Linked DNA regions of Coturnix japonica. The protein of the gene in region 1 purifies or fractionates together with the protein of each later gene. This does not show direct contact. Links are inferred from orthologs where the notes say so. Each region holds a gene or a part of one and is shown on either strand. Other genes may lie near its edges.

Region 1 (4,414 bases):
TCTCTCGCCCTCCTTCTCCCCAGGACTTTGCTGTGACATCGCTGCCTCCATGAAGGAGGAGGCTGGAGGAGGTCCCAGGCTGTTCCTCCAACTCTTCAGTCCCTATCAGCACCTGAAGCTGCCTTCCTGCTGCCCACCCCGCACCTCCCATCCCACACACATCACTGCCTGGCAACTCTTTGCCCTCTACAGACTCTTAGTACAAAGCAGCATCTAATTGAATTTTTCTTTTTAAGAGATTCAATTAGAAATGCAAAGCTAATACATTTGCAAACAAGACTCTTAATGCAACACTATCCCTTTAAGCTGTGCATTTAGTTCACTGCAGTGCAGACAGACCGTTACAGCTCCACAGGAGCAGTTTTTCCACTGCTGTAAGTAGACCCTAATCTACCCCACTCACATGACTGCCAGCTTTAACTTCAATCCCAAGGCGATAAGCAGCTCACATACAGGATGAAGAACAGATGCAAACAAGTCACTGTGCAGGCCAAGGTGAGGGAAGCACGCAGGCCCTATCACAACGTGGGCATATTTCCACACAATCTCAACACCACAAAGTTCAGGTTGGTGTGGTTACCAGGACAAAGATGGATGAACTGTATTCCAACAAGTGTAAGATTTCTCCCCAGCCTCTCCCAGTTCAGAAGCAGGTCACACAATTACTTCTAACACAAGCAAAACAAGATCCATGGGCTTCGTTTAGATTAAAAAACGAAACACACCTCTGTTGCTTTTAGTGTACATAACACACACAATATGACCCCTAACACAGCCACACTTCAGGCCTGATGAAATTCATTTTGTCCTGCTTCACATTCTCTGGCCTCTTGGCCACTCACCTTCTACTACAAGCATTGCTACGCTCATAAACGCATCCAAACTTGGGGATTTTTGCTTTTGTTTTTTGGACCTTTCAAAGCAAATCCTATGAAACAATTTAGAAGCACAGCTCCTTACTGCCATGGGCAAGGAAGGAGGATACAAACTGTGCAGCAACTGAGCTCCCACCTCCCCAGGGATGTTGTGGAAGCAGCTGTAAGGAGGCTGAGTGTTGTCAGGCTTCCAAAGCAGCAGCGCTGCTCCTGAGCGTACAGAAGTTGGGCAAAACCAATGCTAAGTCAGCAGGGAATCACTGCAAGATAAAGCATCTAAAAGGATTAAATAACTCTACCAGAGGATACAAGACCTTCAGTCCTTCGTTCCAATCACGCTCTACAACAGCAACAGGTACAGAGTAACTTCGTTTAGTTACTACTGGCCACCTGGTATTCAAACTGAACTCTTCAAGGAGAAAGACAATAAACTCCTGATGAGACTGACACAACTTCTGCACAGTTCTGCTACAGAAGTGATGGTGGAAAAAGCAGTTCGTTTTGTAAGGATTTCACACATTGAATCTGTGCCCTTCACATGTTAAGCACCATAAATGAAGTTGCAGAAGCAGCCTGAAGAGAAGACCTTGAGCAATAAGACAAAGGCTGCGCACTAAGTTAAACACACTTAAACCCACTTGGCAGGAGGGCTGCAGCTCCTGCACCTGTCTGAGCCATCAGGCACAGCCCTGCTGGCCACTTCCAGGACAGATGGAGACGTTCCCTCTCAGACACTATTTCCAGACCAGCAGTCAAAACCTCTCCTTGTGAGGCAGCTGAAGCCTCTTATTGCACTACCTTGGAGGCTCTTCTTATCTGAGGTAATAAACTCATTTCCTTAACTATATGTAAAGCAGATCGATGTGGATGGTGCCAAGGAAATGAATCTCACTATCAAGCTCTTATCTCTTTCACACACTCCCTCTGTCTCCTGCCAGCTACTTTCCTCCAATTTTAACCCTCATCAGGACGTTGAAAACTACAACAAAGCAACTGAACTGAATAAACCAGAAGGCAATTGCCGTTTCAGAGGATCACAAAAGCACGTTGCAAATTACTACATATGAGACAATTTCCATCGTTATTCCCATTCAATCAGAGCACTGTGTGGCCTTTAGTATCCTGTCCATGAGGTCTGAGCTGCTGTGACTGTCCCAACCTCCTTCCCAGTGCCAGGAAGGCGCTGCTGCAGCTGAGGTTCCCTTTAAGGGGCACAGCCTGAGCTCGGACAGCCCGTCACTATGGGATGCAGTCAACAAACCCACACCACAGGGCCCAGTGTTACCCTGCCTCGTCCACCCAGCCCTACACCCTGAGCTGTGCTAGCGATTAAGCTCAATATCACAGAATTATCAAGGTTGGAAAAGACCTAGAAGATCATCTAGTCCAACCATCACCAATACTTCCCAGCTAAATCATATTCATCAACACAACATCCAAACATTTCTTGATCACTCCCATGGTCAGTGACTCCACCAGCTCCCTGTGCAGTGCATTCCAATGCCTGACTACCCTTTCTGAGAAGTAATATTTCCTAATGTGCAGCCTGAATCTCCCCTGGCGCAGCTTAAAACCATTCCCTCTAGTTCTATCACTGAATACACGAGAGAAAAGTCCAAGCCCCAGCTCACTACAACCCCCCTTCATGAAGTTATAGAGAGCAAACATCCTACACTAAAATGGCTTTATATATACATATATATAATAATTTATGCTCCTTTGCGTTCTCACGTCCCATTTTCACCCCATTTCCATCCCATTTTCAGGTTCCAGGCTCAAACACCAACACTTTTGATCACAATAACCCCCCATTCAGAGCCCAGGACCCGCCGTTCGCTCAGCGCTGTCACTGTGTCACTGTGTCACTGTGTCATTACCACGCAGCTCCTCACGGATGCAGGTCACTATTAGGCCCGGCTCGGCCTTTAACCCCCCACCGCCGCCAACCGCGCTCCGTGCGCCCCGTCCGTCCCCCACATCGCGACCCTCACCCCCCCACCGCGTGTGTAGAATTGAATCTCGCCCCCCCTGAGTCCAACACCCCGCTCTCACCGGAAGAACGGATCGTCCTCGAACCACCGGCCCATGGCCCCGAACATGGCTGCGGCCCCGCGCGCACTGAGCGCCCACCGCCCCCACGGCCCCTCACGGCGGCGCCCGCTCGCCCACGTGACGCGTCCCAGCGCCGCTATTGGTCGCTATGGGGCATAGGGGCGGGGCTACCCGCTGCCGTGGTAACCGATGGCCGCGCGCGCTCCCGCTGCAGAAAGTTCGGGGCTGGGGGCGGCGGGAGCGCGCACGGAGCGGCGCCTCAGGGCGGGATGTGACGGGGGGGATAAAGAGCGCGGGGTGCGGGGGGGGCAGGTCGGAGCGTAGGGATGGATTCAGTGTTATCCCACTAGATGGCAGCAAAACAAAGCCCCGCCGATACCGGCGTCCTGCCAAGCGATCCTCACCGCCACACAGGGCCGGCGGAGCGGCTCCTTCATGCCCTGAGGAGGGGCACACACAGCCTTCAATGCACGATGGGGCGGCACTGCCTGCTGGGCGGCCTGTTGTGCTCCCATACACAGCATGGGCTTCATGGTGAACTTGTTTGCAGTCTGCCACCCAAACCTCACCGAATACATGTATATTGTCATTATTCATTGCTATTTCTGAGCAGACTCTGAGCTCAGTTACACAGTGTAGCCTTTGCATGAGTTCTGCCTTGCAATAACAAGCCTATTACTTCCATGCGATGCCAAAGGCAGCTCGGTGCCTTCCAGCAGCTGCTGAGCGCACACATTTCACCCCCAGTTTCTCACTGAGATTCCTATGGGGTCAGACTCCTTCCCAAGTCAGAGCAGCCCCATCACAGTGCAGGTAACCAAGCAAAACGAGTCCCAGTTATTGCTAATTCCTCTGCTGCTGGTGGGAGATGGGCCCTGTTAGGGGCGAGCTCATTATGGGCTCACTACCACCACACAGCCAGTCCTCTGCTCGCACACTGATACCTCTAATTGCTCAGGCCTTCGTACAGTTTGTGTCTGCTCGAGTTACGTTTCTTTTGTGTAGATAAAAAGACTTCTGTAAGAAATCACCTCAGTGCTGCAGCGCTGTCAGTCTGGAGGGCATCTCCAATGAGATTAATGATGTCTGCCTTAATACGAGAAAACTTTGCATAAATGAGATTATGGTTTCTGCTGAAACCTGCCAACTCTTATTCATTTGCGGTAAATATTATCTTTAATTAAAAGTTTTAAGGTATCTTGTTCCTGAGCTAATGAGATCTACAGTGATTTCCCTTAGGAATTAATTTACCTTCTTAATTCTTATTCATTTTGGTGATATGACTATTTAAATCTGATTCAAACTTCAGAGCTTTGTTGAACGTATTCATCTAGAACAAAAGGTCGTTTTGCCATATTGACGTTGAGTTGGTGTTTATAATTCCCTCTCGGTTCCATGGGTATTTGTGTAGGTTCCTGCCCCAAACATCCCCCCTAACACTTCTGTTTGTGTTACCTGCTCATGCTGTGCAGTTCTTTCTGCAGCTG
Region 2 (3,814 bases), on another chromosome or scaffold:
TCCAGTAGTACCTTAAGGTCCAGCATTTTGGCTTTATGATGTTTATCAATTGCACAGTATATTGTATTTTCCATTTTTGGAAGGGCCTTCACTCGTGGTAGCACAAATTACACCAAAATTCTTATTGTAAGAGGAGTCATTCAAACAAAACCCCCCAATATTTTGCTATTAGCTTCATTTGAACCATTTTGGAGAAGCTGTCTATTTGAAAAGGTTCTCATGCATTTGAAAGGTGGTGCTAAATCATAAAAATAGAGCTGCCAGGCTGAGATGTTATTATTGTGCTGAGTGGGACTATTCATCATCCTGATTTACAGCCTAAAATCATAAACAGTGCCTGAGCAGTTGTGGGGTTGCTTTATGCGTGTGGATGTGGTGGTGGATACAACAAATGATGGTGCAGAAGCTTCCTGCTGCCATCACTGCTCAGTGTTTTTTGGCATTTTTTTCTCTGTACTGTACTTGAATGGCTGTCAGCGCAGCCATGAGGAGAGAATATTGCCTTGGAAAAGCTCCCCATGTCCCTGCCTTGTGAGTTTTCTTGCTGAGGATTCAGCAATCAGTTGCAATCAGGTTTCAGCATGTAATTTATTGGAGAGAATTACTGGCAGAACATGGGAGGTTTATTAGCAGAACTGCAATCTGGAATCACCTGAGGCTGGAAGTGGAGTAAAGACTTCAGGTTTTTTTGGTGTGTAGGGTTGCCAAAGGCTGAAATAGAGCACACCCAAGTGTAGGTTAGGCAAGGAGTAGGCAGTGATGCGTTTACAGCTGTGTTGACAGTGGGGATCTCTGGGGGATTCTGGGATCTCCCATAAAACCGTCATTTTTGGCTGCTGCTTTGTGGGAGAGTCCCCTGTAGAACAGGCTGATAGAGTGGGGGGATCGTATACTCAGAGCTTACATGGCAGGTTGTTTTGTTTCTATTCAAACTCCAGGTAACAGGAAAAATTGAGCTATTAATAGAAAGCTTAACAGTGAGAGTAATATAATATAGATCATTTGTACACGTGAGTGAATGACCTTCATAACTAACTTCTGAGTCACCCAAGCAAGAATATATTAGGCTTCAAAACAATTAACTGCATTGGTTTGACTTACCAGCTGATAAACTATCTTGGGGAGAGGGTGTGGGGGGGAAGCAGCTTTAAAAAGAATGGTTACAGTACTTGTTTGGGAAATGCTAACCATAGTTATAGGTTCCCATGTTGCTATGCCCAAGAACTGGTTTGGTTTGTAATGTTTTAAAGATAATAACAGATTATCTTGAGGTAAAAAATAGCGCAGGAGCACAAAAACAAAAAAGCATGGAAACAAGGAAACTTAGTCATTGCTTGGTGGCGTGGGTAAGATAAAAGCTTGGTCCTGCCTTTTCTATTTAATAACTGTGTAAGCTAGGGTTGTTTTTGTTGTTCCTCGCATTTTCTATCTTCCCTAGTGGAAATATGTTTTTGGACCTTAGGAGCTTTATTTGTTCAGCCTTAAATACAATGTGACTCTTCTGTAAATGAATCACGTGTGCTAAGTAGTAATTTTTATTACCAGATTGATTGCTTTAGAGATGTCACCAGTGAGTTTACTTGGTGATGTAGAATGCACCAGCTTGGGCTTTTGTGCTGATACCAGGAGTGGGCTAATCTTTTATCTGTTAATCTGTTAATCATCCTGTTTGATGAGTTGAAGTTCTTGAACTTTGGAGTTTAAAATAAGAAATATATATGTTGAGTATGTGTTACGTGATTGAAATCTAAAGCTCTTTGTTTGAAGAGCGTTAGTAAAAATCTTTTCAGATAGCCACAGTAATGTCTGTATTTTAGGAAAGCTTGATTGCTTCTAAGTAAATAGGGATATTCTTGCACAGGTGTTTATGTACATATATGAAATCATACATAAACAAAAATGTGTTAGGTGGACATTTTTTATATGTATATAATATCTATCTTTAGAAAGAATCTATTGCTCTGCTAATGGGAATGGAATTGATAACTGCTGCTGACGTAACTGTTGTGTGTGAATTTGACATAATTTTTTCCACGACACTCTCTGTTTTTCACCTTTTTCTCCTGCTTGATGGTGTCTGAACGTCTCTTCATAAGTTTGTGCACAGTGTCCTGTAATTTACTACTTAAATCTGCACCAGAATAAATGTTTAAAGTACCTAATGTGGCAAGGGCTAAAATAAACACAGAGTAGTTGAAATTTGAGTTATTGTTCAGTCATTGATTGGGCTTTTTATATTTCTATTATTGACACAAACCGTTTGGAAGTTACTTTTCAGAGACCCCATAGTGGTGGAATGCAATAGATCTGAAACAGCAGTAAGCTGTGGGCAGTATTTATGTCCAATATTGTAAACACTGTTAAGTTCTGAGATCTTAATTTTTCCACAGTGTTACTCCTTACTGCTGTGTAGAGATCGTGATAATGCATCTGATGAGTTCTAAATCTGACAAATACTGAGTGGACACAGTCAAGTTGGTATTTATTTGCAGTTCTTTTATCGTGATACCCAGTCAATTATGCTGTGTGAGCATCTGAAATAAGTAAACTTCTGTTATAACTCTTACTATGCTGAGACATTACAGTAAGTTTACTGTTGTTTTAATACTAAATGGCTAAAATGATAAGGAAATCAATTGCTTAGAATTGTAATTCTATATGTGAGGTGAGATTAACCTCTTTAAATGTCTTTTGTTTTGTAGAAGATCCTTTTGAGGACTTCTTTGGGCGCAGACGGGGTCCAAGGGGAAGCAGAAGCAGAGATGGCGGATCATTTTTCAATGCCTTTGGTGGATTCCCTGCTTTTGGAAGTGCTTTTCCTTCATTTGACACAGGTAAATAGTGTAGCATTTAACAAAGAATACTTTTGTCTCACAAAGGATTTCAGTGTGGTAAGCAGATAAATACTTTTAAAAGTTGCCTTCATTCAGGAAATTGTGAGACTGATATTCTGGGAATTTAGTCTGCTTTCTAAAAAGTCTGAATGTAAATAAAACCTTTGTTATAGTATTTGGTCTACTTGAAAGTTGATAAAAAGTGAACAGACCTCTAAGACTACGTTGCAGTTGTTTATGGCTTGAGAATAGTTTTGGTTCTGTTTGTCCTTGAGCATTGGTGTGACTGTGTTAAGTTTTGGGAAGCACCCTGGGAATATTGTGTTTTGAAACTTGTGGTACTATTTAGAACGAGTTCTGGAATAGTTAATTTGAATGGTGAGGTCTGTGTCTCAGAGCTTTTTGAGAGTTTATGGTAGTTAGTATTGTTTCAAGTGTTAAGACTGAATATTAGTTGGGATGTTTGCAATACAAAACTAAAGCTAGGAGGTGGTCTGATTAGCTGATAAATTTGAAGATCACAGTCATGCAAAATTATGTCTTTAGTCAAATAATTGTCACGTTAACATTTTCCCCGATAGGTTTTACTTCATTTGGCTCGCTGGGACACGGAGGCATTGCTTCGTTCTCCTCTACGTCATTTGGTGGTAGTGGGATGGGAAACTTCAAATCAGTATCAACCTCAACTAAAATAGTTAATGGCAGAAAAATTACTACAAAGAGGTAAGAGAGAGATTTCCATGAAACTATGTAGAAATACATAGTTTTGCATGTGTATAACTATTTACATACACACAGTATATATTTATATTTGTATTGGTTTGTATTACTACTCTTGATGATGTGGTCATCAGAAAATTTGGATTTTTCTGAAAAAAATAAAGGCAAAAAAATGGTGTTGGGTTCTGTGACCATTGCCTTTGCTGAGTTGCTTATAGTTATAGCATGTAAAAATGGAGAAGGTAGTGGTTTTGGCTGAG

The links.
Region 2: the proteins of MLF1 (region 1) and DNAJB6 purify together in Homo sapiens (affinity purification with mass spectrometry; 3 studies listed by BioGRID and IntAct, counting the BioPlex papers as one, with this or other methods). This does not show direct contact. The link is inferred for Coturnix japonica from reciprocal best matches to the Homo sapiens genes MLF1 and DNAJB6.

The regions. Positions count from the first base shown.
Region 1 is NC_029524.1:19,969,209-19,973,622, forward strand, and holds the start of MLF1 (myeloid leukemia factor 1), read right to left. Parts: upstream 3,059-4,414; 5' UTR 2,975-3,058; coding exon 2,928-2,974; intron 1-2,927. UniProt on the Homo sapiens protein: Involved in lineage commitment of primary hemopoietic progenitors by restricting erythroid formation and enhancing myeloid formation.
Region 2 is NC_029517.1:7,735,110-7,738,923, forward strand, and holds part of DNAJB6 (dnaJ homolog subfamily B member 6), read left to right. Parts: intron 1-2,702; coding exon 2,703-2,834; intron 2,835-3,415; coding exon 3,416-3,557; intron 3,558-3,814. UniProt on the Homo sapiens protein: Has a stimulatory effect on the ATPase activity of HSP70 in a dose-dependent and time-dependent manner and hence acts as a co-chaperone of HSP70. Plays an indispensable role in the organization of KRT8/KRT18 filaments.